Linked DNA regions of Rhinolophus ferrumequinum. The protein of the gene in region 3 interacts with the protein of the main gene of each other region in a pairwise test. Links are inferred from orthologs where the notes say so. Each region holds a gene or a part of one and is shown on either strand. Other genes may lie near its edges.

What was found.
Region 1: the proteins of TRIM39 (region 3) and UBXN6 interact in binary tests that used the Homo sapiens proteins (3 or more experiments, as listed by UniProt). The link is inferred for Rhinolophus ferrumequinum from reciprocal best matches to the Homo sapiens genes TRIM39 and UBXN6.
Region 2: the proteins of TRIM39 (region 3) and UBTD1 interact in binary tests that used the Homo sapiens proteins (3 or more experiments, as listed by UniProt). The two-hybrid records come from large-scale screens. The link is inferred for Rhinolophus ferrumequinum from reciprocal best matches to the Homo sapiens genes TRIM39 and UBTD1.
Region 4: the proteins of TRIM39 (region 3) and PSMD9 interact in binary tests that used the Homo sapiens proteins (3 or more experiments, as listed by UniProt). The two-hybrid records come from large-scale screens. The link is inferred for Rhinolophus ferrumequinum from reciprocal best matches to the Homo sapiens genes TRIM39 and PSMD9.

Annotation. Positions count from the first base shown.
Region 1 is NC_046301.1:59,267,307-59,274,909, forward strand, and holds the start of UBXN6 (UBX domain-containing protein 6), read left to right. Parts: upstream 1-4,596; 5' UTR 4,597-4,735; coding exon 4,736-4,818; intron 4,819-7,150; exon of another isoform or gene 7,151-7,284; intron 7,285-7,603. UniProt on the Homo sapiens protein: May negatively regulate the ATPase activity of VCP, an ATP-driven segregase that associates with different cofactors to control a wide variety of cellular processes.
Region 2 is NC_046299.1:26,307,697-26,315,040, reverse strand, and holds the start of UBTD1 (ubiquitin domain-containing protein 1), read left to right. Parts: upstream 1-4,341; 5' UTR 4,342-4,684; coding exon 4,685-4,754; intron 4,755-7,344. UniProt on the Homo sapiens protein: May be involved in the regulation of cellular senescence through a positive feedback loop with TP53. Is a TP53 downstream target gene that increases the stability of TP53 protein by promoting the ubiquitination and degradation of MDM2.
Region 3 is NC_046286.1:1,119,093-1,126,972, reverse strand, and holds the start of TRIM39 (E3 ubiquitin-protein ligase TRIM39), read right to left. Parts: upstream 3,003-7,880; 5' UTR 2,283-3,002; exon of another isoform or gene 2,179-2,282; 5' UTR 2,097-2,178; exon of another isoform or gene 1,989-2,096; intron 1-1,988. Other genes in the region: developmental pluripotency-associated protein 2-like, read right to left, coding at 5,826-6,695.
Region 4 is NC_046308.1:5,407,212-5,415,195, forward strand, and holds the start of PSMD9 (26S proteasome non-ATPase regulatory subunit 9), read right to left. Parts: upstream 3,001-7,984; 5' UTR 2,878-3,000; coding exon 2,740-2,877; intron 1-2,739. UniProt on the Homo sapiens protein: Acts as a chaperone during the assembly of the 26S proteasome, specifically of the base subcomplex of the PA700/19S regulatory complex (RC).

The DNA.
Region 1 (7,603 bases), on a different chromosome or scaffold from region 3:
TTTTATTTGAGATTATAAGGCATATGATCCTTTATTTCACAGTGCTAAATTGTAATTTTCAGTATGTCAAACATTTAAAAAAGATGAACACAGGGGTGGCCAGTTAGTTCAGTTAGTTAGAGTGTGATGCTAATAACACCAAGGTTGCTGGTTCGATCCCCACATGGGCCACTGTGAGCTGTGCCCTCCTTAAAAAAAATATAAAAAGAAAGAAAAAAAGATGAACACAGTAACACAATGAACATGGTGTGTCCTTCTGTGAGTTAGCTATTGTTGTATAACAAATTACCCCAGAACTTAATCACTGAAATAACAAACATTTATTATCTCATGCAAATTCTGAGGGTCAGGAATCTAGGGAGTTCCAGCTCAGGGTCTCTCATGAGACTGTAATCAAGATACCAGCCAGGGCTGCCTCATCATGAGAGCTCAAGTGGGGCTGAAAGAGCCCCTTCCAAGGTGGTTCCCTCACATGGCTGTTGGCAGGAGGCCTCAGCTCCTCACCACGCGGACCTCTCTACAGTGCTGCTTGAGCATCTTCACAACATGGTGGCTGGCTTCCCCACAGTGAGTGACCCCAGGAAGAGCCACAAAGAGAAACTCAGGAAGAGCCGCTGTGCCTTTCATATCTACCAGTAGTCTCAAAGCTATAGACTATTATTTCCGTCCTTTTCCATTTGTTAAAAGCAAGTCACTAAGTCCAGCCCACACTCAAGGGGAGGGGAATTAGATTTCACCTTTGAAAGGAGGAGTGTCAAAGAATTTATAGACATATTTTAAAACCACTACAACCATACACCTATGTTCAATGATTGTTAACATTTTTCCATCTATGTTTCATATGTGTGTGTATGTGAATATATATATTCAAATATAACATATATATATTTGAATATATATAATATTCATAATTCATAACATAATGTGTATGTAAATATATGTACAATTGACCCTTGAACAATGGGGGGGGCTTGGGGCACCAACCTTCTGCACAAGGTTGAAAATCTGTGTATAATTTTGACTCCCCCCAAAACTTAACTACTAATACTCTCCTGTTGACTGGAAGCCATAAAGAGTCGATGAACACATATTTTGTTTGTTATGTGTATTATAGACTGTATTCTTACAATAAAGTGAGCTAGAGAAAAGAAAAGGTTATTAAGAAAACCACAAGGAAGAGAAAATACATTTACAGTATTTATTTTTTTAAAATGTGGACCTATACAGTTCAGACATTTACAGTATTTATTTTTTTAAAAGTGGACCTATACAGTTCAGACCCATTTTGTTCAAGGGTCAACTGTATATATATCTGTTTTTAAACATTTGAAAGTTTCATACATCATGACACTTCACCCCTAAATACTTCAGCATTTCCTAAGAATAAGGACCTTTCATTAAATAAGCAAGATACTTTTATGGCACCAAAGAAAATGCATATTTATTCCACGATACTGTTTAATATCCAATTCATTTTCAATTGTCTTCATTATTCTAAGAAGTTTTTTCAGCTTTTTTTTTTTAACCAGGACCACATCAAGATTCATGCCCTGCATTAAAGATTATGTTTCTTTATTCCTTTTTATTTAGAATCTTTTATTTTTCACAGCATTGACTTTTTTTTTTTAAAGCTTAATATTGTAATACCTTTAATGGCCCCCTTTTCCTGCCTTTTAAAACTTTTTTATTGGGGAACAGTGTGTTTCTCCAGGGCCCATCAGCTCCAACTTGTCCTTCAGTCTAGTTGTGGAGGGTGCAGCTCAGCTCCAAGTCCAGCTGCCGTTTTCAATCTTACTTGCAGGGGACGCAGACCACCATCCCATGCGGGAATTGAACCGGCAACCTTGTTGTTAAGAGCTCACGCTCTCACCAGGTGAACCATTCGGCCACCCCTCCAGCAGCTCAGTGGCAGCTCAGTGGCAGTTCATTGTCTTCAATCTAGTTGTTGAGGGCACAGCTCACTGGCCCATGTGGGAATCGAACTGGCATCCCCGTTGGTCAGAGCTCACACTCTAACTGAGCCATCTGGCCACCCCACATCATTGACTTTTTGGAGCGACCAGGCCAGTTGGCTTAAAGAATGTGTTACATGATGGTTTGTTCCATTTGTTTCTCTACCCCTTGTTCCTGTAAGTTAGGCCTAGAGGTTTAATTCAATCACCCTGTATTTTTAAGTATTATTTTCTATTGTAAAAGTCATAATGCTCCATTACATAAAATTTGGAAACTAAGAAAAAAGGAAGAAAAATCCCTTATGATCTCCCCAATCCAAATAACCAATGTTAGACTTTTTCCCTTCTTTGCCATGTTTTTCCGTACTGGTATGTTTCTATCCTGTAAACAGGGTGGGCAGACAATGTCATCTATTGCATTTTTGCTCAATGCTGTCGTGTGGTAGACAGCCTCCACGGTGGACCCCAGTGAGCTCAGCCTCCCGGTATTCACATGACTGTGAAGTCAGCTCCCACATTGTACCACGGATGGTCTGTGTTACTAATAAAAATGGCAGACGTGATGGTATAGCAAGTTTAATATTAGGTCATAAAAAAAAAGACTGCAACTTCCTTCTTGGGCACTTCTCTCTCTCTCTCTCCCTCTCTCTCTCTGGTGGAATCCAGCTGCCATGTAGTAGGACACTCAAGCAGTCTGTAGAAAGGTTCATATAGAAAGTACCTCAGGACTCTAGACAAGAGTCAGTAAGGAACTGGAGCCTGCCAACAACCATTTGAGCGAGCTTTGACGTAGACCCTCCTTGTCAAGACTTCAGGTGAGTCCTTAGCCCCAGCCAACAGCTTCAGTGCAAGAACATGAACAAGAACAAGCAGTATGTTTCCATCCTGTAAACAGGGTGGGCAGACAATGTCATCTATTGCATTTTTGCTCAATGCTGTCGTGTGGTAGACAGCCTCCACGGTGGACCCCAGTGAGCCTTGAGCCAGAATCACTCAGCTAAGCCACTCCTGAGTCCTGATGCACAGAAATTATGAGATGTTTGTTATTGTAAGCTGCTAAATTTGGGGATAATATGTTATATAGTAATTAATTACTAACACATCTTCTCAAGGATTTTTCCCTTGCTACTTTTTAATTCTCATGATCACACTTCCTGATGGTTATAGAATATTCCATACAGGGGATGATCAGACCACACATTACTTGCTCTTAGCTGAGAATCTTCTCTCTTCCCTCACCCTGCTCCTGGCACCATGTTTGGTGAATAAGCAAACACTTCAGGATCCTTCCCTTTGCTATTTCCTCTGCCTGGAACACTCTTCTCCCAGCTATCCCCGTGGTTTGGTCCCTTGTCTCCTTGAGAAGTCTCTATTAAAATGTCAGACCTTACTAGCCTATCTAAAAGAACGCGCATCACTCGATTCCTTTCTCCTACTGTATTTTTCTTCATAGAAGTGATCACGACGACCTGGCACGATTTCCTTGTTTAATAGCTGTATCACTGTGAGCCCCTCAGAAGCAGAAGCCTGCCTGTCTTGTTCCCTGCTATGACTCCACTGACCTGACACATAGTAGATGCTCAGTAAATGATTGGGGAATGACTGCTCTCACACTCTACTGCATGGAGGAAACACAACCAGGAGAATTCTTCCTAAAGTGTGTGTGTGTGTGTGTGTGTGTGTGTGTGTGTACGTGTGTATAATTTTTTTCTTTTGCTGGAGTATTTTAAAGCACATCTCAGATGTAATTTCACCCATAAATACCTCAGAATGCATCTCCGAAAAAAGACCTAACTTAACCTATTTAAACTTAACTACCATGCCATTATCACCCTTAACAAAATTAACAATAGCTCTTCTATATCATTTAATGCCTAGACACATTCAAATGTCCCTGCTGGTCTAAAAAATGTCCTTTTTCTGTGCCTGATCCTCTTATTTGATGATGCAAACTGCCCACACTCTGCCCTCCCCTATTCTTGTTTTCCACTTTATTTTCCTCATAGAGCCTAACACCATCTACCCTACCAGATTTTATTTCTCATAGTCTGTCCCTCCCCAACCTCATCAAAAAACTCATGAGCTCTACGAGGGCAGGGAATTGTTGTCTTGATTTCCTCACTGCTGGTACAGATCCGACTCTCAAGAAATATTAAAAGGAGTAACATATTATAACGTGTGCCATTTACTGAGCCTTCCGATGGTTTCATCGTGCTCACAATCCTCCTAGGGAGCGGGTGCTATTCTTATCCCCACTTCACAGATAGGAAACTGAAGCTCAGAAAGGTTGGGGGGGTGGCGGGAAACTGGGGCTGACCACGGGGCTGGGTTGTGGGGGCCTTGAACGCCCACAATTTAATTGGCACTTTATCACGTAAGGGCTGGGGAGCCAGGGATGGTTTGCGAGCAGGGCCAGAGCTCTCCCCGTGAGGTCAGATGGCCTAGCCCTCCCTCTCTTGTCACCCCTCACGGAAAGCGGTGGAAGGCGTCCAAGCTCAACCACCAGTTAGAAGCGCGCACGTCGCCCCTGGCAACGGAGTCCGGAAGAACCACCGAGACGCGGCCCGAGAGTACAGAGCGGTCGCCGAGGGCCAGCGAGGCGCAGAGAGCTAGAAAGGCGCGCCGGGCCGATTGTCACGTGGGCGGACGTGCGAAGGCGGGACTTCTGGTGGCGCCGTATTTTTTTTCCGGTTGTTGGCTCCTGCCGACCCCTCCCTGACTGGGCCCTTGGGCCCTCAGCCCCTCGCCCCCCGCGGCCCCCTGCCGCCGGGCCCGCCGCCACCATGAAGAAATTCTTTGAGGAAATCAAAGCTGACATCAAGTTTAAGGGCGCGGGGCCTGGACAGAAGCTCACGGAGTCGGTGGGGTGCGTGACGGGCGCTGGGCATGAGGCCGGGGGCGGGGATGGACAAGGGATGCCTGAGAAGGCGAGGGGCGGGCCGGGGAGGCCGAGGTTCGGGGGGTGGGGAGAGACCTCGGGGGGCGGGGCGTGGGGGCAGCGGTGGGAGTAAGAAGGGAGGGGAAGCCTCCGGGTTCGGGGCGGGACGGTGAGGCCCGAGGGGGCGGGGCAGGGGCAGCGGAACCGCGGGGTCAAGGGAGAGGCTCGGGGGCGAAGGAGATGCCCCGGAGAGGCTTATAGATTTGGGAGACTCAAAGTGATGGGAATTGGGGGCTGAGCCCGGAGAAGCAAAGAGGCGAGAGGCTGAGCGTCCGTGGTGATCGGGGTCTGGGCCCTGGTTCTGGAGAGTGCGGGAGGAATAGATGAAGAGTCTGGAAGGCCAGGGAGCCTGAGGCATTGTTGGGAAGGGTCAGCAGGGATTTGGGAGGTCTGGGTGAATGGGGTGGTGGTGCTGCGAGGGGCTGAGGAAGGTCTGGGAGGAGAATGGAGGCGGGGGGTGGGGCGAGGAGCAGGGGCTGTGGTGGGGGCCTTGTGGGTGTGGTTGAGTGAAAGGGAGAGTAGGAAGAGGGTGCCCTTGGGCCTCCGTGGGTTGTCTGGGGAGGACTTGGAGAAGGAAAGGCCCGGGGGCAAGACTGGAAATGTAGTGGAGAGAGGTGTGTGGAGGGCCAGAGCTGCAGGGGGGCAGTGAAGACCGGGAGCAGGGAGGATGCCAAACGTCAGGGCTGGTGGGCTGGGAAGAAAGCTCCGCTGGGTGGTGGGACGAGCAAAGGGGCTGCAGAGGGGGCTGTGGGGACTGAGGAAGTGGTCCTAGGAAGAGGAGAGGCTGCGGAAAGATGGCAGCCTGGGCAGGGGCCTGTGAGGAACAATGGAAGGAATTGTGAAGAGGTAGGGGCTGGGAGGGAGAGGGTAGGAGGAGAGGCAGGAAGGGGTGGTGGGTGAGGGCGAGTGGGTGCAGGGCAAGGACCTCAGGGCCTCTGTCACGAGGATTGGGGGTTCTTGGGAGGGGAGTGCTGAGCGGGACGAAGGAGGCCTGTGAGGACCACCCCTGTTTGTAAGGGAGGGAAGCAGAGTGGAGAAAACCGTGTCCTGGGAGCCTGAGGAGGGAGAGGAGGGCAGCTTAAGAGGGGTCCAGGGGGAGCGATGGATCAGACAAGGGGGTCCATTCATTTGTTCCATAAGTGGTGGGTGGAGGTGGGGGCTGGGGCAGCTGGCACTGTGTGACAAAAAGGAGGTGGGGGTGATGGTTGTGCCATAGTGGAGGCCTGGGAGGAGAGGGCAAGGCAGTAGGGTGGAGACCCAGGCTTCTGTGACACGTCAGGAGCAAGATGGGAGACTCAAGGTGGGCAGGAGGGTGTGTGTCAAGCACCACTTCAGCATGAGTGAGATAAAATCCCCTTTCTCTCAGGGCTGGTCTTCTAGTGGGGGAAGATGGACAAATAAATCAATACACATGTGATGAAAGATCACGTGGTGCCTGGGGCCATAAAAAAAAAAAGGCATGGGATAGTGAGTGATGAGGGGACCCATAGATGGTCCAGGAATGCCTCCTGGAGAAGGCGACATTTGAGCTAAGAGCTGGAGGAGGTGAGACTCAGCCATGTGGAAAACAACCCCTTTCCCGCTCCCACTCTCTTTCTCTCCCTCTTCCTCCCTCACGTGTGCTGGCAGGAAGCAGTTTTACCCCCTCCCAGACCTGCCTTCCTCCCTTTCCTCACCCCATTCCCAGGCAGAACGTTGGGGCAGAAGGCACCAGAAGTGCAAAGGCCCCGTGGCAGGACCCAGCTGAGCCTGTGTGAGCAACAGCTGGGAGAGCAATGTAGACAGAGGAGTGAACCGGGGAGACGGGCAGGTTGCGCCGGGCCCAGGGCCACGGGTGGCTTTAGGATTCTGTTATGCCAGTGGGAAGACTTGGTACAGAGTTGTGATAAGTGCTGGCTCAGGTTTTACAGGGATCCCTGTGGCTGCCCAGTGGAGCCAGGAAGGGGCTGGTTGAGGTGTCTTGGAGAGAGGCATATTCCAAATGTCAGTGTCACATGGGGCTAGGGCAAGTCTACGTGACTCCTTTTGTCTTCGCCACGAGGTTCTCCGCGTTGGGGAGGGCTGGCGAGAGGGGTCGGAATGGGCAGGAGGCAGGCCCCGGAGGACTTGGAGTAAGGAGAGAGGCTGCGTGCGTGTCTGAGCGGGGCGGGAGGGGTGAGGCCATGGACTGAGAGCCTTGGCTCCGGAGAAGGCTTTACGGCTTAGCACAGGCCCCCAACTGCTGGGGCCAGGAGAGGGTCCTGAGGGAAGAAGGCGGCGAGGCCGGTGAGGCAGACCAGGGCAGGAGGAAGGACTTCTCTGCTGGGACATTCAAAGCCCGCTCATTCCCTGCTAAGCAGATGCAGAAGCCATCGTCCCCTAGGGTCATCACAGTGCTTATTTCCCAGGGTGGAGGTGAGATTAAACCGGATCTTTATAACACGTTTACCCAGGGCCTGCCGCTTTCTGAGCTTCGGTGATCCTCTAGGACGTGGGAAAGGGGATCTTAAGACCTCCCTCACAGGGGGTGTTGCCATGAGGAATTGGGCGCTGCCTGGCACACAGTATGTGCTCAAAGGCAACGGTCGCTGTTGTAGACAATAAGGGTTAAGACTCTTACTGGGGAGGGAGTGAGAAGAGGAATGATACCTCTGAGTCTCATCAGTACCTGAAGATATCAGCATGTGTGCGGGGGTGCTGTTACCCCCATTTAACCCTGAAGGGAATAGAAGTG
Region 2 (7,344 bases), on a different chromosome or scaffold from region 3:
GGGCAGAAAGACATCTAACACAATCAGTGTAAGAAGTTCAGTGTTACCATAGTGATATAAACAGACTGGGTTAACATAAGAAAGGAGTAAAATTCCTGGGTTTATGGACCATCTCTCACCAACTTTAAGTGCGTCATTCTCTTAATACTATAAATACTCCCAAATGAAAAATACCTGAATATCTGGAGGTACTGTTAATTGCGTACTTGGACTCCTGGGATGAAAGAGCTAATAAAAACTTAATTTTCCTAAGGGGAGTATCACTGGCATGAAGGAAAAAATAAACGAAAGTTCCTTTCATTATATAGGTAGGCCTAAGCTTTTGCAAGCTGTCCAAGATTTGCTCTCTAAAAATGGACCTACTAGCACCTCCTAACTACACACAACTTCCACAGCAGGGCACCAGTTCGTGTGGGGCACTGAGGAGTCATCAAAGATGTATTTACATGAGCCTGACATAGAATGTACAATCAGACCTCTGTCTGATGGAGTTGCAGCCTCTTGAGAATCTGGAGCAGCAGCCAAAAGGGGAAGGGGGAGGATATGAGGATGCAGGAAGAAGAAAAATCCCAATCAGGACTCAGTTCCAATTAAGCTCTCCAAATGTCCTTTCTGCTGAGGGTGCTACACACATTTCTCAGAACTATATTTTACTGTCCTTTAGCAATCTTTTGGATTCAGGAACAGTGGTCTCCTCAGGGAATCACAAATGTGGGACAATATAATAAAGGCTGAAAAAAAGAAAATACAAATAACTAAGAAGATGAAAATTTATATCCATCACCTGTAATTTCAACATGTCCAAAAATCACTTCAAAATTAGTTCCTTTCCCAACCTCCATTTTTGGACAAAGTACTTCTCTTTTGCTTACCATCAGGCTCAAAAACTTGGAGTCATCCTAGAGTTCTCCCTTTCCTTCAAGCCCTATAACTAGTTAAGCCTCAAATTCCAGATTCTTCCTTTTCTCATTTCCATTCACTTATTCAGTTTTTTACTGCACATCTACTTATGCTAGTCTCTAGGAGACTCTGTTGGTAGGAATAGCAGAGTAGGATGTGGAGATACGTACAGAAATAGCTACTAAACAAGTCTGCTAATAAGTTTATGAGTGGTTGAGAAATAAATACCACACAGATTCTGAAGTGTGAGATGATGTCTGATTGAAGTAATCAAAAAACACTTGGAGGGCAGGCAGCGAGCCCTCAAACTGGGTCTTGAATCCTACATCTACCTTTGATTAGACAGAGCTAGGGAAGGAAACCATTCGGGGAATAGCAAATCAAGGTGGCTGCCTGGAACTAAAGGTCCAGGAGGGGAATAATGAGAGTAAAGGCTGGAGCTAGGTAGTGGCAGCTTTTGACTGCCAGGTCATTTCTCTTCCATCATTTGAACCTTTATATCTGATACTTTCATCAGGAACCCAGGTACAAAACAAAGTTGGTGGTAGCTGCCTCTGTGATAACAGGGTGTTCCTTCTGCATTTACAATTTGTAGGAGAGGCTACCACTGTAGTGGCTTAATAGACAGTGGTCCTTTCAGCACTAACAAAGCTTGACTTAGGATGGAGGATCCCATCTTATTCTAGGAATGCTTCAAAACCTGGTCAGCCTTCAACAACCCTAACTAGGGCTGTAATCTAAGATTGGGAATACCAATTTAATTCTTCTCAAATTTGCTTTCATTATGCGACTCCTTTGCTCAAGGATCTACAATGACTCCTATTAACTATAATAGATCATTCAAGTGCCTTTGCCTGGAATCCACGGCTATGCATAATGCAACCCCCCCCCCAAACCTTTTCAACCTTATGTTGCTACCCCTGTTACTTATCTGTTACTACCAACCTCCTTTCTTAGTCTGAAGGGTTAAATTACAACAGGGCTGGTGTTACAGTCTTAGCTGAGTTAAATTTAAATTAGACAACAGTTTAGGCCATTTTTTTCAGGTATAAAAACAAATTTTACAAGGACATTTATAAGAACTTGGCCATCCTTATTCACGTCGTCTTCTTAAGTGTGTTCTGCATTTTTCAAATGCAATTATTGTGTTCATGATATATAAATGTGAAAGAATAGTTACTAATAACACTGATATAGCCATGTTCTTTATCTTGGTAGGAGGTAGGTGTATACATTTTTCAAAATCAGTGACTATACACAGGATTTGTACAATTCATTGGATATGAATTTTACACCAAACTAAATTGTAAACAAATATACCTACCAAAGTATTTAGGGGGAAGTGTACTGACATCTGCAAATTAAACGTATGGATAGATATGTGATAAAGCAAGTTACATTAAATTGTTAATGGCAAAATCTAGGTGGTGGAGTACTCGTATGTATGTTTCTTATGAAATTCTTTAGACTTTGCTGTGTTTTAAAATGTTCATATAAAACACCAGGAAAAATGCCATTGAAAACACACTGTACTTGTTCATTATAATTGTAAGCACTAATAACACACTAAGCTTCATAAAGCTGTAAGCAGTTAAACTTAGTGGAATGGCAGCATCAGGCATTTGCTCCTTGATGCTTCATGCCACCTTGCACATACCTTTTATAGCCCTATTCATGGTGTAGTGTACTATCTGTTTGCATGGTTTTCTCTCCCACCCCACTACAGTGGCAGATACATATCTAGTCTAATTTGTATTTATGTTCCTATTGCTTTGCATCTGTTTAAAGAATAATATATATTCAATAATGGTGGAATTATTGAATAAATAATTGGATAAAAGTGTAATTGCTAAGGAGCAAAGTATTGTACTTCCTGCAGATTTACTTTATTCATTTCACATATTCTAAATAAAAATTAATATGTTAAATTTTCAAGAGAAATGCGTCCTTTACTTTTTCTCAAGACCGCAAAATTTTCAAAAATAGGCAAAACTCTTCTGTATTCATGAGATTTTGTATTCTCTTACGTAACACGAGGTCTGAAGGCCTCCTAATTATTCAATAACTTCTAATTTTTTTTCTAAAAGAGAATTCCAATGAAACCTGGAATTTGTTTCATTCAAATCTTATATAAGCTGTCAGAACTAAGAGATCCCTGAACCTGTCAAATGCAGGAAACTGGAGATCTGGGGAAAATATAAAAACAAACACCACATAAGTCATGAAGCAAATTAATCAAGAACTTTACTATTAAGAAACGGAGGGAAAGTCTTAAGGATACGTAGAACATCTCAAACTCCCCTCAGGCTGGCCTCTCTCCTCTCTCCAATTACAGCCCGTCAAAGATCAGGCCGCCCTGCCCCTCCCAACATGCCACGCGACTGGAGCCGATGCCTCTGAAGATGCTTCTTGTCCCGTTGACCTCCCAGGATCAAGTGCTTTCGCGACGTGATCACCAGATTCTGAACTGGAGGACCTGGGGCCGCGTCCCAGCTCCCCCACCTGCCTGATCTGCGAGCCTCTTGCCCTCGCTAGGCCGGATTCCCACCTGTGAAATGGTAATCACTCTCCTAACCCGTGCCGGCGCACAGGGTGGCTATAAACCAAGACGAGGGGCGTAAAGGCGTATTAAAGAAGATGCAAGTAACTGTTACGCCTCTTATGCACGCGGTACTCACAATCTGCCCGAGACCAATCTCTCAAGTCACCGCTGTCCCTCACTCCCTTCCCGCCCCACGTCTATTCTGAGGCCGCTCCCTCCCGTTGGCCCCCATGCGGAAGCCCCGCAGCGCCGTCTGCCGTACCTGCAGCCACTCGGTCAGCGGGGCCCTCCTGCTGACCCATGACGAAGTCGTGCACGAGGCCCCGCAGGGCGCCTGTGGGAGCCACCGCCTCCAGAGTGGCGGCGGCGGCCATGACGCGAACTAGAGACCGTGGGAGGGGAAGTGGGCGGTGGTACGGGACGGAACTCTCAGCGCATGCGCCTCCTGAGCCAATCGCCTGGCGGAAGCAGAAGGCGGGGCGCTCCCTGGATCACGTGCCTGCCGGCTCCAAGGCAGGCGGTTCTAGGGAGAAGTGGGATGGGTCCTCCCCCAAGGGGCGGGGCCTGGAGTGGCCATGGCGGCGCGGGGAGGGGAGGTGGCTGCTGGGCACGCAGCCGGGGGCCATTGAAGGAGAATAATTCCCGGCCCTGCTACCCGGGAGACGGGCGGCGGGGCGGGCCCCTAGTTGGGTGGGGTCGAGGGGCGGTACGCACCCTGGGGGAAGCCAATGAGAAAATCAGACCCGGCCCGAGGGGGCGGTGCCGTCGGTCACATGCGCACCTGGGGCGGGCGGTGGCGGCGGCGGCGGCGGCTGGGGCACTGCGAGCCCACGGCAAGGAGCTGGGCCGGGCTGGGGCGGGGTTAGGCAGGTGAGTGACAGACTCCGGGGGGCCGGCCCCAGCCCGGAGCCGCGAGCTAGCCGGGTGTAGCCGCGGCGGTGACCGCCCCCTCTCTCCGCCCCTCCAGCGGAGCTGGTCTTGGGCCGGGCACCGTCGCGGGCCCCCCTGGCCCGGCCACCTGGGACTGTACTAGGGAGTCGGCCACCTCCCTCTCTCCCCTCGCCGCAAAGTTTGTGGCGAAGCCGGCTTTGGGGCACAGCGCGCCCCCGGGGGCAGATCCAGCAGCGCCCGATGGCTGGCGGCAAGAGCCGTTGACCAGGGACGCCGCCGTCCGGGGCCGGAGCGCTGAGCAGCGGACCAGCCCGCCGCCTCCGGTGCATGGGGCCCGGCTGAGGAGCCAGCATGGGCAACTGCGTGGGGAGACAGCGCCGGGAGAGGCCGGCCGCCCCAGGACACCCCCGCAAGCGAGCAGGTAACGACGGGGAAGGGTACAGGGCCACGGGCGCCCCGCCAGTTGTCCCCTCCTTGCCCGAGCCTTGGGCTTCCCAGGCGACTTCCCATGGCTCCTGGCGCCGGGTTTCCCCGATGGCTTCCCCCGAGCCAGACTGGGGTCCCCTTCCCCAGCCCTGTCGCCAGGGGAGTCTAGTTGGGGCAACAGCGAGCGCTGACCCGGCTTTGAGCCCAACTCTCTCCAACTGGGAAGCTCCGGGTGGGGGTGGGGGTGGGGGCGGGGGCAGGAAATGTTTGCAAACCGCAGCGGGGCCGGCGGAGGGAAGGAGGGCCCGGGCCAGGGGCCCCACTGGCCGGGCAACCGGGCCGGGGTCCGACGCCGGCCCGTCGGGGCATGGCTCTGGCGGCCAGGCGTCCCCAGAACTCGGAGCGAGCGAGGCGAGAACAGTCGCTCTTTCCCAAGACTGTCTGTGTCATTATCGGGCTGCAGATCGTGTCTGCCGGAATCCGACTTGCAAAAGCACCGCAGGACTCTGGGAAAGAAATCTTTATTTTTCCCGCAGGGCTTTTTAGAGCCTCGCGTCCGTCTGGGAGTCTAGACAAGGTGGGGTGCGGGGTGGGAATAGCCCTCGGGTTTGTTGGGATCCTTGGGGTCCTTTCCAGCCACGGGAATGGGATTTCAACTGGTCATCCGCGAGGGCCAGGCAGCGCCTTCTCACTTTCTTGGTACACTCCTATCCTGGCTCTTCGCCCCGGGAAGAGGTCTGACGGTCGGTTCCCTGGGTCTTGTGCTCACTTCCTTCTCTGAGGTTGTTGCAGGGACCTTCTGAGAATTTTTAAAATCGTGATCTTTAGAGTTGAAAGGCACCTTCTAAACTTGTCTGGAGTCCAAATAGACCTACCTCCTCCTATCTGTGAAAATGCCCACATCCAGAGAGGTTGAGCAACTTGCCCAAACTCTTACAGCTAGTTAGTAGTACAGTTGGGGCTAGAACATAGTCTCCTCTTCCACTCAATTGCCACATATCCCTTTATGTAAGAGGAGCCACAGGCAGAGTTGTTAATGAAGTGGAAACTCTAGTTGGAGTTTCCTGTCTCCTTGGACACCGAAGGTGTGTTGGTTGATTTGCGGAAACTGGGAAAGAGGATGAGGGGAAACATGGGTGAAGCAGGGAAGGATGTCTGTGTTGTGGACAGGATGACTTGTGGAAGAAGATATGTGTTTTTGTAGAACAGGGTAAAATTTAACATTGAAATCCTCTTGGCAACCCTGGCCATTCTGACTGAGGAAAGTTGATTCTCAAACCCAAAGCCTTTCTTCCTTATTTCATTCATTTATTCAACAAATATTTATTATTTATGTGCTCAGTCCACATGATTGATTTTGTCGCATTTTTCACTGTCAGCCCTCTCCTCCTTGAAACTCTACCCCCTTCCCTTCGTGGTGTTTATTAGACTATCTTGGTTTTTTTTCTCAGCTCACTCCTATCCGCCATCACCTCCTAGGTGTGAGCACACCAGTGGTTCAATTTGACATTCCTTTTTTTTCTCTCATTACACTTCCTTCCAGAGAAATTTTAATCAGTCCCACAACTCTTTGTCCATTGGGGAGACACTTAAGCTGTATCTTCAACTATTCCTTCTCAGACTCCAGACTCGTGTCGTTGAATGCACACTGGACATTGCGATATAGTTATCCTCAGATTCAGCACTTCTAAAAACCAAGCTCTGCATCTCTCCCCCCTCAGGCAGCTTCCCTATGCTCTTCCATCCTTGCAGCTGCCTAACTTTGGACTTTGAAGACCTCTCTCTGCTGACTTTCTCTGCCTCCTGTGCTCTGCCTCCCAGCCGGTTAGTCATTGGGACCTGCTGGTGTTTCCTTCAGCAGGTGGTACAAACCTGCCCCTTCACATTCTACTTCACACGCTTGTCACCTCAAGTCCAACTCATCTCCCAGGTTGAAGTTAGTTCCCCATCAAAGGCAAAATCATCTTCAGTCATTCATCCAGTGCCTGCACACCATGGTCCCCCCAGAAGACGTTTTGTTTGTTAAATTAACCTGCTTCAAGCCCTATCGTTCTATGTTCAGAAAAAAATTTTGTACCTCCTCACTTATACAAAAACTTTAACTTTCAAGGTCGTTCAAATCTGGTCCAGTCCTTATTTTTAAGGCATGATTTCTTTCTCTTACCTGACAATAAAGGCCGCCAGTGTTTGCTCGTGCCATTTCCCCGTTTATCAAGACCCTTTCTAGCCTTCAAGGTCCATCTCAAATCTCATATCTTTCTAGAAGCACCTTGCCTGACAGTGCCACCCCCTCCCCTGTAGATCTGATTGCTTCTTCTGAGAACTCCTGCAGACACGTTATGCCACTTAACAATTATCTACTCCATATTATTAGTCATTTCTTTGATGTTTATAGTCTTACATCAGCAACTACATTGCAAGCCTTGAAGACCTGGCTTCTGTCTTATCCTTCCTTGTGTGTGTGTGCGCGCGCGCGTGCGTGCGCACGCATGCACGCCTGTCTCTCTTTTTCACTTATATAACCATGCACATGCACACTTGCACGCGTGCACACACACACACACACACACACAGCATTTAGCACA
Region 3 (7,880 bases):
AAATCCTAACTCCACATTTAGCCCCATTTTGGTATTTCACATCTTCTCTTGCACCAGATTCAACCTCTCTTTTGTTTCTCCATTTTCAAAACTTTTGACTCCCAGCTATCGATCTAATTTTTTTTCATCTTCAGCAAACTGACACACAACTGCCAATCTCTTCTGTTTTTCACCTCTGCTTTCTCTTGTTAGAAATGGAGGCTTCTTTCAACTCTAGCTCAGTATACTTCTCCTGATCCAGGCTCATACCACTTCTATCTTAAAACCAATAATGCCAGACCAATTTATCCCTAGTGTGACATATTTTTCTAATAGATGAGAAAGGAGTTTGCGAAAGTGCAAAATGCCATTAAAGTCAAAGTATTAAGATCTCTTAAATTAGGTATATTTTAAAGTTTAATGTTACAGAAGAGTTTTATTACAATAGTCCATTGGAGCCCAAGCTTGATTCTCTGCCACTATTCTCTCTCTCTTTCAAACAGTAATAAATGGAATTAGTTAGGCAAGGCTAACAACCTTCTTTTCAGGAAAGATTGAAATTCTTCTTCCTTTTATCAGACTAGTGTAGAGGAAGTGTGCCCTCCTCTTGGAATGAAATGATTCACACAACATCCTATTCTATTTGTGTGCAATTGTACATTTGGAACTTCCGAAAAGTGATAAACTCATGGCAACTATACTAAAGAGTGTGTTACTGAGTCCAGGCTGAGAACTTCTTGAAAAGAGGGATGAAAAAATCTATTTTAAATATCCTGCAGGGACTGGAGTCTTATGAAATAGCTATCGATAACTAATTCCTTGGACATACTGTGCCTCCAACTATAGGTTTTGGAGTGGTTGGGAATGAAAAGTAAAGAAGGCAATCAAAATCTCCAAGTGAAGCCTCAAAAGAGTTGGAAATGCATAAAGCATTTATAAAAGCAGAAGACTGGTCCCCTACTCCATCCTTAAAATGTCACCATTTTAATCTATGAAATGGTTGGTTTCTCTATCCCTATCACCCCACCTTCCACCCTCCCTCCCCTCCAAGGGTCCCAACAGAAGGAAAGAAATTTAGTATGTCTATGTGCTGAGAGAGGGTCTATGTGCCCCTATAATGAGTTGGGTTAACAATGATTATTCCTGTATATATTGATGGCACACGTGAAATGTGTTAACTTGGAGTAGTAACTAATTTGGACCTCAATTTCTTTCCTGAACCAGGAGACCATTCAGTTAGATGATTTTTCTCCACCTATGGAACTCCAACTGTGAGTAGTGATCCTGCCCTTACCCCAATATTCTAGGAATTAGGTGTCCTCCTCACCTGGGGTGAGTTGAATTGTACGCAGTTAGGGACCAGGAGGGATCTGACTGGCAAAGAAGTGGTGTGAAAGAAATGGGGAAAAGGTCAGGAGAGTATGGAGAGGGCTTGGAGCTACAGCCATAGTGAGGCCTCGGGCGCCTCTGGATTGGTCATTTCTTTCCCTCTGTTCCTCGTGTCTCTGTAGAAGGGCAAACTTCAGGGACGTCCTCATTTTGTTTCTACCACTGTCCGGGGTCCCACCTTGCGACCCTCTCCTGAGCGTGGTCCACAACTCGGTCCCACCCCCGGCTCCTTCTCCCGTCAGATCTGGCGCAGGGGTACTGGAGAGGAGGGAGAGGTTGGCAGGGAAGGAGGGATGAGTGTCCAGGTCGGGAGGAGTGTGACGTGAAGGTGGGATGCCCGCTGCTATGACGCAGCCGAGACCCGCGGCGACCGCGTCAGAGTTTCACCGGGGGAGGCGAGCGGCAGCGGGACGGGGAAACGGCGGGGTAGCCAAGCAACGCCGGACGCGCTGACGTCGCCGGGGCGGCAAAACGTCCGCCCGGGCCCGAGGCGGGAGGAGGCAGCGGTGGTTACGTGCGGGGGGCTGGTGACGCAGTCGCGGGGCGCTGGGACGCGGCGTGCGGAACCGGCCGGCGGGGCAGGCCCCGGGGCCCGGGCGCGGCGGCGGGACAGCACCTACCTTCCCGGCTTCGGGTCCGGTAGTGCGGGGCGCGGAGCCGCCGGAGCACTGCCTCCCTCTTTCCTCCTCCCCCCGCCCCCGCCCCGCAGCGCGACACACAATACTCGCCGGAAGCGGAAACGGCGCCGAGAGGCTCGTGTCAGTGGAAGCCGTGGTATCGGCGGGTGGCCGCGGGAGGGCCTGGCGGTGCCTGCGGAAGAAGGCGGGAGGCCGGTGGTGAGAATCTGCAGGAGGAGTCAAGGGCGAGAAGGGACCTGGAGGGGCAGGTGGCTGAAACGTTGTCGTCCAGGTGACCTGAGGAATCCGCTGGAGAGAGGGCCGCGCATGCGCGTGGCTGAGCTCTGAAGCCCATTGCCCGCAGGGCGCCGACGGGCGCGGGCAGGCGAGGCTCTCCGGGCCCGGCAGCGGCTCGGACTCTGGCTGGGCTCGGCTGACCCCGGGTGGCGCCGGGAGCCGACGGGGGCGGGGCGAGGGCGGGCGGCGGACTTTCAGTTACACTTATCCTCTGCAGGCCATTCCGGGGAGAAGGTGGCTAGGTGAGGCGCGGCCAGTTACGTGGTGGACCTGCGGGTCTCAGCAGGCACGTCACTTCCGACTAGTTTAGAGTTAGCCCTTTACGGTTCAGGGATTAAGTACATTCTCCCAGCCGTGGGCTTTAAGTGCTCCTCGCCCTACCTCTACTATGCGAGCTTTAAAGAAATGATCACCTCCCCCGCTGGACTGGGAGTCCCGATTGAGCTGGTACCGCGACTCTACTGCTCACCTTTGTATACTCAGCTCCTTGCTTGGGCCCGGCCGCGAGCGCGCCCGAAACGCCCGTTAACTATGTGCGAGCCCAGGCGCGCTCTTTCCTCTTTGGGGCTGTGACTTGAGTTTCTTCGCGAGAGCAGATGGTGCTTGTATGGAGACTACAGATTTTTGCAATATAGTCCCCTGTTTTCCTCTCCTGATGTTGGAAGCTTCGCAGCAGGTGGTTTTGCAGCGATGAAGCAGAGGAAGCCTCTGCTGAAAGAGGTGTGATGAGACTGGGGAGGAGCTAGCGATGAGTAGAGGGGTGATGGGGCAGGGGAAAAGTTGGGGCTGGGCAGGAGTAGGTGCTGGGTAAAGGTGTAAAGGGGGCGGGGAGGAGTTAGTCCAAGGTGGGTAGAGTAGGCAGCTTGCCCCGCCGGCTCTCCCCCGACGTTTGGCATGCAGAATGCTTACTGAAAGAGAGGAAGGAGCAAGTTTTGGTGTACCCCGCCGAGGGAAATGGCCAGTGACCCAACTTGTTCCTGTGTAAATTGTGATGTTATTTACACTGTGCAGCATTTAACCTCATCCTAGGAGCCAGAAACTATTTACTTGCAGAAAATATTAAAAAGTGCGCGTTATAAAGATTTTGATCACACATGTTAAGTACAATTAGTTTACTTTTTCTTTACTGGTTTCCTTTTTGTTCACTTTTCTTTTTAAGGTTGCCAATGATTGAAGAGGATTAAACTTGAGAAAATCACATTTATTAACTTTTCCCTCATTGCTATTTGGCCATTAGGGATTTTAGCAACAGTACTTGTTCTAGTTCACAAAACGTCTCAATTCTAAGGTAGGGTAATTTGAAAGCCACTAACTGGATAGTCAGCCTCTTTAGCTTTGTTTTGGAGAGAGAGTCATCAGTTGTAATGTTGATTTGTACCAAGGGATTTCCAACACAGGACCATGCAAAAATGAAGTATAATAATGAGATAACATTTTTAATGAGACGAAAAGTTAGAAATACACACTTTAATGTTTTTATATCAGGAAGGGAGAACAGAAGCAACTAGCTTAAAATTACTGAGTCATGTAGAAGAAATGGGTATATTAGCAGTACAGGTAGAAAACTGGTCAAAGTCACGTATGGTGGCTTGGGGATGAAGAGGGTTCAACTATCCAGACTTCTGAGACTCTTACCCAGAAAAACGCAAGGCATCGAATTTTCCCCCACCTTTTTTTTTCCACTTTTTAATTATGAAAAATTTCAAGAATAGACAATCTTCAGTTTGCTTTTTATACTTTATACTGACTATCTTCTATCTTTTTCAGTTACATAAAACTACCTCATTCTTTTTCAAGTCTGTGTTAGTCATTGTGTAGACATATAATTTATTCAGCCATTTTATTTTGAGTACACATTTAGGTTCTTCCCAAGTCTTATTAAATAAAAGCTGTAGTGAACATCCTTGCACATATATGTTTCCCCCCAGTTTTATTGAGATATAATTGACATACAACATTGTATTACTTTAAGGTGTGCAAGGTGATTTAATATATTTGCACATGTATCTTTAGATGGTCATACCATTTATTAGTAGGACAGATTCCTAGAAGTTGGGCTGTTGGGTCAAAAGGCATAAAAATTTAAAAGTCTAATAAGGTTGTATGTCCACACCAGCATATGATGAGATAGTCTGTTTCCCTACTATGGAGCCAGTGCTTACATTTTCAGGTGTAAAAAAAATTTAGTAATATTTTTCATTTAACTTTTTTTTTTTGAAAGTAATTGCGGTTTTTGCAATTATTTTAACCCTTTACACCGCAATTACTTTTTAAAAAGATCTTATTGGGGGACAGTGTGTTTTCCCAGGGCCCATCAGCTCCAAGTGGACGTCCCTCAACCTTGCTGTGGAAGGTACAGCCCACTGGCCCACGTGGGAATCGAACCGATTGCTGTTCAGAGCCCATGTTCCAACTAACTGAGCCACCCTGCTGCTCCGTCATTTAACATTTTTAATGATTGCATAACAGGTCTTGTTCTGCAGATACCATACATTTTTTTTTTGTTTTTTTTTTTTTTTGTTTATAGCAGCTTTATTCATAATTGCCAAAACTTGGAAGCAACCGAGATGGCTTTCAATATGTGAATGGATAAACAACTTATGGTACATCCAGACAATGGAGTATTCACTGCTAAAAAAAAAGGAAAAAAAGTGGGCTAAGGGATCAAATATATGGTGACGAAAAGAGAACTGACTGACACTGGGTGAACACACAAAGTGATATATAGATTATGTATTACAGAATTGTACACCTGAAACCTATGTAACTTTACCAACAATTGTCACCCCAATAAACTTTAATTTAAAACAAAACAAAAAAAAGTGAGCTATCGAGCCATGAAAAGATATGAAGGAATCCTAAATTTACTTTGCTCTGAAAGAAGTCAATGTGAAAAGGCAACTGTATGATTCCAACTGTATGACATTCTGGAAAAGGCAAAGCTATGGATACAGAAAATGTGTCAGGGGTTAAATAGGTGGAGCACATAATTTTTAGGGCAGTGAAGCTATTTTGTATGACACTATAATGGTGGATATGTCATTATACATTTCTCAAAACCCATAGAATGTAAAACATAAAGAGTGGACCCTAATGTAAACTATGGGCTTTCGGGGATAATGAAGTGTCAATGTACGTTCAATAAATGTACCCCTCTGGTGCAGGATGTCGACAGTAGGGAAAATGGGGGAGTGCAGGGAACAGAATTTGGGAACTCTAGTTTCTGCTCAATTTTTTCTGAAAATTTAAAACTGCTTAAAAAAATCTATTAATTAAAAGAAAACCAACTTATATTCTATATGTTATAGCTAAATACCTGAAGCAGCAGGGGCAGTCACTTTTTGGCAGACCTGAAGTACAGAATCCAGACATTCACATCTGTACTCCAGGCATCAGGCAACACTGAGGATGGCCAGGACAGGGCACAGCAATCACTGGGATACAAATCAATGTATCTGTGAGCTATCTATCCACCGTTTATTCTTTATTAAGACATGGCCAATCCAAAAGGAATGATATGATTGTGTTCAAACCAGGTTGCTTCTACTTCTTCATTGTAGTTAATCTTTCCATCATCCTCTTATTCCTCTTAACACAATCGGGGCATAACATATTATCTTCTAGGTCTGGGTATGGGAAAGTGCAGGCCGGCAACAGGAAGAGAGAGATCATCTTCTTGGGAGGGTCAGGCACCCACGCCTGACCTGCATAGAACTGCAGGTGAACCCAACCCTCTCTGTCTGCCAAGAGAGGTCTGCCGTGGACCACACACCACCTGACACCAGACGTTTGCAGCAGAAAGTTCTCAGCAGAAGCAGGAATGGGACATGAATTCATAGCCTTAGGTTGAACGGCTCTTGCAGCAAGTCTTGCCCATGCTGCCAACATGGCTTCCTGAGCTGAAGTTATCACTTCAACGCTGTTGGTCATTTGCTCTCTCTCACTCATCTTACAACTTTTCTTACTCCTTGCTTTCTTGGTCACCATCTTGCATTTCTTTGAACTTGACTCCTGTAGTATTTCAGGAATGTTTTGTTTTTCTTCAGAGTATGCATGTTCCTTGAGCCTCAGATAAACGTCTATTTTCTTGCCATCAGTACTCAAATTAAATTGTTGGCACCAGTTCCGCAAAGTGTCCCAACGCACTTTATTAATTGAAGGCAAAATGGTCGGCAAGGGGAGCATTGGTTTTGGACAAGCTTTGAACTGTTCACTCGTTTGAGGAAGATAAACTTCATCATCTGTCCTAGGAATCTTCAGGTTGTCTTCTGAGATTGAAGAAATGCTTGGTTCCATTTCACGTTCTTCATTAGTTTCCTCACTAACTGGAACCAATGTGAGAATCACACTTTCTTCCTCTAATTCAACCTTAAAGTAATCCTTTTCGCTGCTATCAAAATTTGAATTTGCCATTCCCAGGAACACTCAGAGAACAGCAAAGCCAGCACAGTTAAGGATACCTGCAGTTTACTCCTTTTCACCATACATTTTTCAGCACTTTCTCAGCAGGCGGGCATTTACTTAGGTTTTTTTCCCCTTTTTTTCCCTGCTGCATAAATGGTGTTACAATAAAGATTCTCTGAACATATGCCCTTATGTGTAGTGCATTTATTATTGTGAGAAGGGTTCCTGGGTAGAAACATTGTGGAGTTATAATCTTAATGGGTATTGCCATATTGGTTTTCTTTTGTTTTTATTTAAAGTTTATTGGGGTGACAATTGTTAGTAAAGTTACATAGATTTCAGGTGTACAGTTCTGTATTACATCATCTATAAATCCCATTGTGTGTTCACCACCCAGAGTCAGTTCTCCTTCCATCACCATATATTTGATCCCTTTTACCCTCATCTACCAACCTCCCCCAGCCCCCCTTACCCTCTGGTAACCACTAAACTATTGTCTGTCTATGAGTGTTTCTCATTTGTTTGTCTTGTTCTTTTGTTCTTTTTGGTTTATATACCACATATCAGTGAAATCATATGGTTCTCTGCTTTTTCTGTCTGACTTATTTCGCTCAGCATTAAAATCTCAAGATCCATCCATGTTGTCACAAATGGTCCTATTTCATCTTTTCTAACTGTCAAATAGTATTCCATTGTGTATGTATATCACAACTTCTTTATCCATTCATCTATCGAAGGACGTTTTGGTTGGTTCCATGTCTTGTTCACCATAAATAAAGCTGCAATAAAACATTGGAGCACACGTGTCTGTCTTCATGGATAAATGTTTTTGGATTTTTTGGGTAGATACTCAGGAGAGGGATTGCTGGGTCATATGGTAATTCTATTCATAATTTTTGGAGGAACCTCTGCACTGCCCTCCATAGCGGCTGCACCAGTCTGCATTCCCACCAACAGTGTATGAGGCTTCCTTTTTCTCCACAGCCTCTCCAACACTTGTTACTATTTGTCTTTTTGATGATAGCCATTCTGACTGGGGTGCGGTGATGTCTCATTGTGGTTTTTATTTGCATTTCTCTGATGATTAGTGATGTTGAGCATTTTTTCATGTCTATTTGCCATTTGTCCTCTTTGGAGAAATGTCTCTTCGGGTTGTCTGCCCATTTTTCAATTGGGTTGTTTGTTTTTTTGTTG
Region 4 (7,984 bases), on a different chromosome or scaffold from region 3:
CCTAACCCCCAGAACCTGTGAATGTGACCTTATTTGGAAATAAGGTCTTTGCAGATGGAATTAAGGACCTCAAGGTAAGATCATCCTAGATTTAGGGTGGGCCCTCAATCCATTGCCAGATGTCCTTATGAGAAAAAGGAAAGGGGCATTTGGGACACAGAGACACAGCGGGAAGACCCTATGAGGCAGACACTGGAGTGATACAGCTACAAGCCAAGGATGGCCGGCAGCCACCAGAAACTAGGAGAGAGGCATGGAATGGATTCTCCGTCAGAGCCTCCAGAAGGAACCAACCCTGCCTTCATCTTGATTTCCGACTTCGCCTCCAGAAGTATGAGAAAATAAACTTCTCTTGTTTTAAGCCCCACAGCTTGTGGCCATGTGTTATGGCGGCCCTAGGAAATGAACATACGTAGAAAGTAATAAATGATGGCTGTAATTATTAGCCAACAGAGAGACAGTGCCCAATGTACACAGTTACTAGACGGAGAGATTCCATTTATCTCCCTTTGTCTCTAGAAGCCTGCGGGGGGTGGAGGGGAGAGGGTCCCATATACTCCCTTACCACAGGACTCTACAGATACCGCACAAAGGTGTCACGGGCTACATAACTGTGTCTGCCTCCTGCTTTCCCACAATGACTAAGAGTTGACTGGCCTTCCTGAATCAGTACCACATAAGGCACTACTTTCAAAAGTTGGGACCCACACACAGCGCATTAAATAACCCTGAATCTAAAATATTTATTCCCTTACCAACTATCTTCAATCCTTCAATAATTAAGGAGAAAATCTCCATTTGGTGCTGTTCTTTCTATCACCTACAGATCACTGCTATCTCTGGGCCTCTCCATTGTGTTTTTCACAGCTTTATGGAGTTACAATTCACATGCCATACAACCCACCTATTTAAGGTGTATAATTCAACAGCTTTTAGAATATTCACAGAGTTACGTAACTATCACCACAATCTATTTTAGACCATTTTCATCACTGTCCAAAAAGAAACTCCGGATCCATTAGCAATCACTGATTCCCCCGCTCCCCTCAGCCCCAGCAACCACTACGCTACTTTCTGCCTACAGATTTGCCTATATTCTGAATATGTCGTATAAATGGAATCATAAAATACGTGGTCTTTTGTAATGAACTCTATAGCACCATGTTTTCAAGGCTCATGTATGTTGTAGCGTGTCAGCACTTCATTCCTTTTTATTGAATAATATCCCACTGTATGGACAGACCACATTTTATTTATCTATTCATCAGTTGATGGACATTTGGATGGATCACTTTGTTATGCATTTTTATACCTTACATTTAAAGGAAAAAGAGTCTCATTTTTTCACATGCTGTAGAATTATAAAATTTCTTTTTCAAATAAATTTAAGTAAAAAAGTGAGTGAATTTAAAGAAAAACATAAAGGGAATAACAGTACAGGAAGTATATGGATACAACGTCCTGTTTACGGTAGAGAGTAACTGAAGTTTAAGAAATTGCTGGGAGGCGGCCCATTGGCCCAGTGGGTTAGAACGAAGTGCTTCTAACAGCAAGGTTGCCGGTTCGATTCCCACATGGGCCAGTGAGCTGCACCCTCTACAACTAGACTGAAAAAAAACTAAGACTTGACTTGGAGCTGATGGGTCCTGGAAAAACACACTGTTCCCCAATATTCCCCAATAAAACTTTAAAAAAAAACTGCTGGCATGTTTGAAAGCACCGGTTCTGGATTCAGCAGGCCTGAGATCTATATCCCACTTTGTGACTTTGAGCAAGTGACTTCCCCTTCATTAACCAGCACCCTTCAGTCACAGAGTCAGGCACTCAGTAAAATGGTACCCTCGCCTCCATCTGATACTTCATCTTACTCCCACCACCTAAAATGCATTCCATCCGCCCTTACATAAGATGTAACTAATTTACCCCTTCTCTGCAAATTGATTTGTGGTTTTACACTACTAGGTGGCTTGAAAAAAAATATCCGTTTGGGAGCCAGACGGACCTGGAAACTAGCCCCACTACTGCCACTTCATAGCTACAAAACCCTAGGCAGGGGTCTGCCCCACTCTGAGCTTCAGTTTCCTCCTTATATATCAAGGCGAATGAGCCTTACCTATCACTCAAAGCTCAGTCCTTCGACCAGTAGCGTCAGCATCGCCAGAAACACAGCATCTGTTCACGCGTGCCCCGCCCCCCATCAGAATCTAAACTTTAACATACACATTAACGTTTACGAAGCTCTGACATAAAGTGTTTAGTAGAACACAGGCCATCAGGTAAAGGTTCAACAAAGACTGATGATGTGGAGACTATCAATCACCCAGCCTCTGCAAACTTGTTAGCTCTGTGACGCGCGGCAGGTCTAAGTTAAGTGACGCCTGTTTCTTCATCCCTAAAATGGTGGAAATAATAGAGCTCACCTCAAAGGGTTGCTGCGACGATTAAATGAGCTCACCAATGAAAATCACGTAAAACAGAGCCCAGCACATAGTAAGGGCTCCATAAACTTTCGCTTGAATACCAATGTTGTTCTTAGTTTTCAACGGTATTTGCCTCACTGCCCGCAGCCGACAGAGGTCGCAGGTGCGGCGCCTAGGGCCTCCCACGGAGGGCGAGAGCCACAGCTGAGAGCTCAAGCGGAGGCCGCCCCGGCCTCCCAGTCCTTCCGGGTCGGGGGGCCGAGTCCGGAGCCCTTGGGGTGCCCCCCACGCCGCCCGGGGACCCGGCGCCCACACTCACGCTCTCCAGAACGTCATAATTGGCCTTGATCTGCGCTTCGATTTCCTCCTTGCGCCGTATCAGCTCCTGGATGTCGCTGACAGTCACCGCGCCGGCCTGCGGAAAGCCTGCGCTCGGCTTCTCTTCCTTCTCCGACATCGTGCACCTCCACCGGGGATTCTGAACACCCGCTTTCCCGGTCGCAGACGCGGGGGAGACTGACTACGGCTCCGCCCGCGGGCCAAAACACCTCGGCCGGCCGCGAGCGCGGGGAGGCGTGAGGGGCGTGGCTCCGTCGGTGGGGCGGTGTCACCGGAAGCCACACCCTGCCGGAACACGTGGTCCTGGGGTGACTCCACCTGGGACGGGATGCAGAGGAATGGCTTCCCTGTCTGTACCCTCCAAGCGCTGTCCCTGACCAGGGCGGATGATCACTCCTTAGCTGACTCATTTTCTTTCCTCATTCATTCAACTAACATTTACGTATTGAATGCCGACTGTACTCGTATGTCCGTCCGAGAGCACTGTGCGTGGCGCTCCAGCTCAGCTCTTCACATGACAGAGCCCCTGAGGGTTTACAAAACACATTCAGATTCCGAATCCCCCGTTTTACAAGCTTGAGTTCAAATCTACTTACTGCAATGTAGTGACCTTAGGTAAATTACTACATTTCTCTGAGCCTCCGTTTTCGCATCTGTAAATTGGTTCCATATCAATAGCAATCAATGTCGTAGAGCTGACATTTTGCCAACAAATATTTATTGAATGCTTCCTTTGTGCCTCACATTGTCCTGGGTGCTAGAGGGGTACAGAATTGAATGCTGGGCTCAGTCCCGTCACATAATTAAAGTCTCTATAAATTTTGGTTAAAAATAATATTGATGAGAACAGTAATACTGATAATTTACCAAATACTTAAAATCTGCGAGACACTGTTCTTGAAACCAACATTAGGACCCTCATTTGACAGCTGAGAAAGCTCTCTCACTAACCAACTTGCCCAACCAGCTCAATAAGCAGCCCAAATTTCAACCCCGCTTGAAACCCAACGATGAAACTTAGTATCTTAATATGCGCCCCTAACATTTTGCACTGAAAAGGACACATCACTGATGTAGTATTCAGCCATGTTTGCCCTGAATCCAACGATGGAAAACAAATCCTAATTTGAGGGACATTCTTCAAAACAACTGGCTTGAACTCTTCAAAAAGGTCAGTGTTGTGAAATACATGCACGTGGTAGGTGATTGCCTAAATTAAAGATTGAAGAGATGCAGGGAAATGCAATGTGTGCTCCTTGTTTGGATCCTGGGTCCCCTAAAAAAAAATAATAAAAGCTACAAAAAGACATTCTTGGGACAATTGGGGAAATTTGAATTAGCTGGTATAGTATCAATGTTACATTTCCTAATTTTGATGCTTACACTGTGGTTATACAAGACAACGTCCCTAGAAAAAGGACCCTGTAGTATCTAGGGGAAAGAGAGTCAACTTATTTTCAAATGGTTCATAAAAAATACGAATTTATATTTGTAGACAAAAGAATGATGAGGCAAATGTGGCAGAGTGAAAATAATTGCTGACTCTAGGTGAAACCTATGTGAACAATATGTGAACATTCTTTGTACCATCTTTGCAACTTTCCTGTGAGTTTGAAATAATTTCTAAATAGAAAGTTACAAAAATCATCTTTATAAAGAAAAAAAGTAGAACCAATTACACTAGGCTTCCTATATTTTGTTCAATTATGTTTTTTAAATAAACTAACATTTCTAACATTGACCCCCACCCCCAAAAAAAGGAAAAAGAGAGAGACACATGATAATTAAATACAATGCACAATCTTTGATTAGATATTAGATTTTTTTTCATTAAAAAGCAGCAATTTAAAAGACATTATTGGGATAATTAATGAAATTTGATATGGACTTTATATTATAGTGTATCAATATTAAATTCTCTCAGTAAGAAAATGGTATTGTGATCATATAAGAGACTCTCCTTATTCAAAGGAGATGAATGCTAAAGTATTTAGAGGTGTAGTGTCATAATTTCTGCAATTTGCAAGTGGTTCAGGAAAAAAAGCTACATACAGAGGGAGAGAAAGAGAGGGTGGAGAGAGAGAGAGAGAGAGAAAGAGAGAGAGAGAGAGAGAGAGAGAGAGAGAGAGAGAGAGAGAGAGAGAGAGAGAGAAGCAAAATGTAACAATAGGTAAACCTAGGTGAAGGGTATATGGATGTTCATGGAAACAATCTTGCAATTCTTCTGAGGTTTGACATTTTTCCAAGTAAAAGGGAGGGGAGAAGATTCTCACCTATGCAGTCTTGAAACCACACCTATTGTTTAAATCACTGTATTATGTTATTATTGTCAATATTGTTATGATTATCATAAACCTACATTCTGTTTCTGCTCCTGCATTCATAGCTCTCATCCATCACCTTCACCTCTACTCTCCTACCACCCCAATATTTTTCCTGATTGCAGTGGCCTATGAACTTGTCTCAGCTTCTAGGTTGCCCCTTTCATCCATTCTCCATATGGCACCCAAAATAACCTACCCAAGGTGTGACATTGTCACTCTGCTATTTAAAAGCTTTCGGTGGCTTTCCAGCACCCTTCTCTTGTCTTTCAAGACACTTCTAACCCTACTTGCCTTTTGAACCCACCCACACACACCCTCCACCACACATAGACAACTTATTTTCCACCCACACTTTCTGGTACATGTATTTCTCCGTCTCTCTTGGCACAGGGTCTGGCACCTGCTTATCCCTTCTCTAGGGCACCATCTCAGGTCAGGTCAAGCCAGGGTGATATCTTTTTTCTTCCTTTAAATTTTTTTGGGTAATATTGGGGGACAGTGTGTTTCTCCAGGGCCCATCAGCTCCAAGTAATTGTCCTTCAATCTAGTTGTGGAGGGCGCAGCTCAGTTCCAAGTCCAGCAGCTGTCTTCAACCTTTAAGCTGTTGGGGGCACAGCCCGTCATCCCATTAGGGAATAGAACCCACAACCTTGTTGTCCAGAGCTCGGGCTCTAACCAACTGGGCCATCAGGCAGACCCAGGCCAGAGTGATTTCAGCTCCTCCTTCAAGAGCCACCTCACATATTACCTCCCCTGGGGAATCAGTCTCCAACCCGCCCCAAAGCTAGGCTGTTTACAGCACTTTCCACCTGTTATTATCCATGTATGTTTATCTGTGTCTAAGCACTGAGGACAAAGGATGTTGGTTGAGGCTTGTTTACCTTCAAATGTTTGACTGAGTGAATGTTTACCAGAGGAGTCTAAGGGAACAGGCTATTTCCCCATTCCAGTTGTCCTGGTTCATCTTACCTGCGCAGATAGCCAGCAAAGCCTTTGTTTTAGAAAGTCTTTGTTTAAGGTTTCAGAGAACTTAAATTGTTTGCCTCTTCCAAACGCCCATCTTGTGCTCATTTCCATTTCAGAACCAAGAGATACAGAATTGGGAAATAGAGCCAGGAAACTAGAGGTACCCTAGGAAGACCTGGTCGGTCAGAATTCATATTGCCTGCCTTCAGGACTCAGCAAATTTTCCGTATTTCCCCTCCACCCTGGCCTAGGAGTCAGGCAGACTGCCAAGTCAATTACCCTCCATTCCTGCATCTATAAACCAACGTCCAAATTGGTGGCAGGATTGTGTGAGTTGGCTAAGAATTTTTAAGAATTTTAAATTAGTTGCTGAATCGGTTCAGGGCCTCATCACAAAACAGCTGGCACACTCAGAACATTTAAGGGGCATTTAATGAAAAGGCTATTTACAGAGTCAGGGCAAAGTTAAGGAAGCATTTAAAGGGATGATAAAACCGCCTGGGACGGCCACCTTGAGGGTCAGATCCCACCCCCAGACTTACAAGGTCAAAGGAAGGGAGTAGCTTTGGAACCTAGAGAAGGTGTGGCCACCCAGCAGGAGTGTGATCTTCAGCAGAGAAACACAGCTGCTGCCCAAACATCTGGCAGAGGGGGAGCATGGCAGGAAATAGCTGTCCTCTCCCTCCTCTCACCTCCTGCCCCAGCCTCTGGCTGGCTGAGGGCAAAGGAGCTTGGGGCATAGAGGGAGACAGGGAGGAAGAGAATTGGAAGGGCAAATAGACCATCCAGCACAGTCGCCAATATTTAGACACTGTGGAAATTAAGATGCAGAGACCCACATGGCGTATGATCCTATTTTTATACAACAAAATCAGCTCCCCCATATATGTGTCTATATATGCTTCTATATGACTGCGAGAGGACGAAGAAGGTGGGGGTTGTCCACGTGAGACTGTCAATATTTAGTGCCTGGGCAGAGCGCAGGGCAAGGGAGAAAGCAATTGAAAAAAATAGGACATTAATATGAAGTCAGAGTAATTTAACAAAGAAAATCATTATCAAAGAGCATGAAACTGTCATTTCAAGTGAGATAGATCATTGCAGATGCTGTTTCTAATTCTTTGGTTGTAAGGGTTGGTTATAGTAATTACAATGGTTTTTCAAGGACACACACACACACACACGATAAACATAGGTATTTATTACCATGAAAAGTATTTACAAAGCATAGGTAAAAAAATTATGTTACAGAACAGTATCATACCTGTACATTTTTAGAAGGTAGTCTGGGTGGATATGCCCAAATTGTCCATGGTGATTGCCTACAGATGAAAGATTATGGATGTGTTTACTTTCTGCATTTTCTTTTTCCTCCTTTTTTAAAAACTATGTGTATTTTCTCTTTTTTTCCCTAAACTAACTTGTATTAATTCTATTATAAAGAACGAAACACCTAAAAAGAAAAAAAGAATAAAACACCTAGATGAGCTGGTTAAACAGGTGTGTTGAGTTTGTGAAATTTCAGAGCGCTGTATGATTTTTGCACTTTTCCATGTATATTAATCTTCAGTAAAAACACTATTTCCCAATATTAAAAAATGTACAAAATCATAAAAAAATTTTAAAACCAATACAACTTTTTTAATTGAGATGAGATCCATGCAACATCAACATAATCATTTTTTAAGTACACAGTTCAGTGGCATTTAGTACATTCACAATGTTGTGCAACCATAACTTCTATCTAGTTCCAGAACATTCTCGTCACCCCAGAAGGAAACCCTGTGCCCATTGGCAGTCACTCCCCATCCTCCCTCCCCCCCAGCTCCTGGCCCCCACCAGCCTGCGTTCTGTTTCTATGGATTTACCTATCCTGGATATTTCATCTAAATGGAGAAGAAAACAATATAATTTTTAAGTCAATTTGGATTTCAC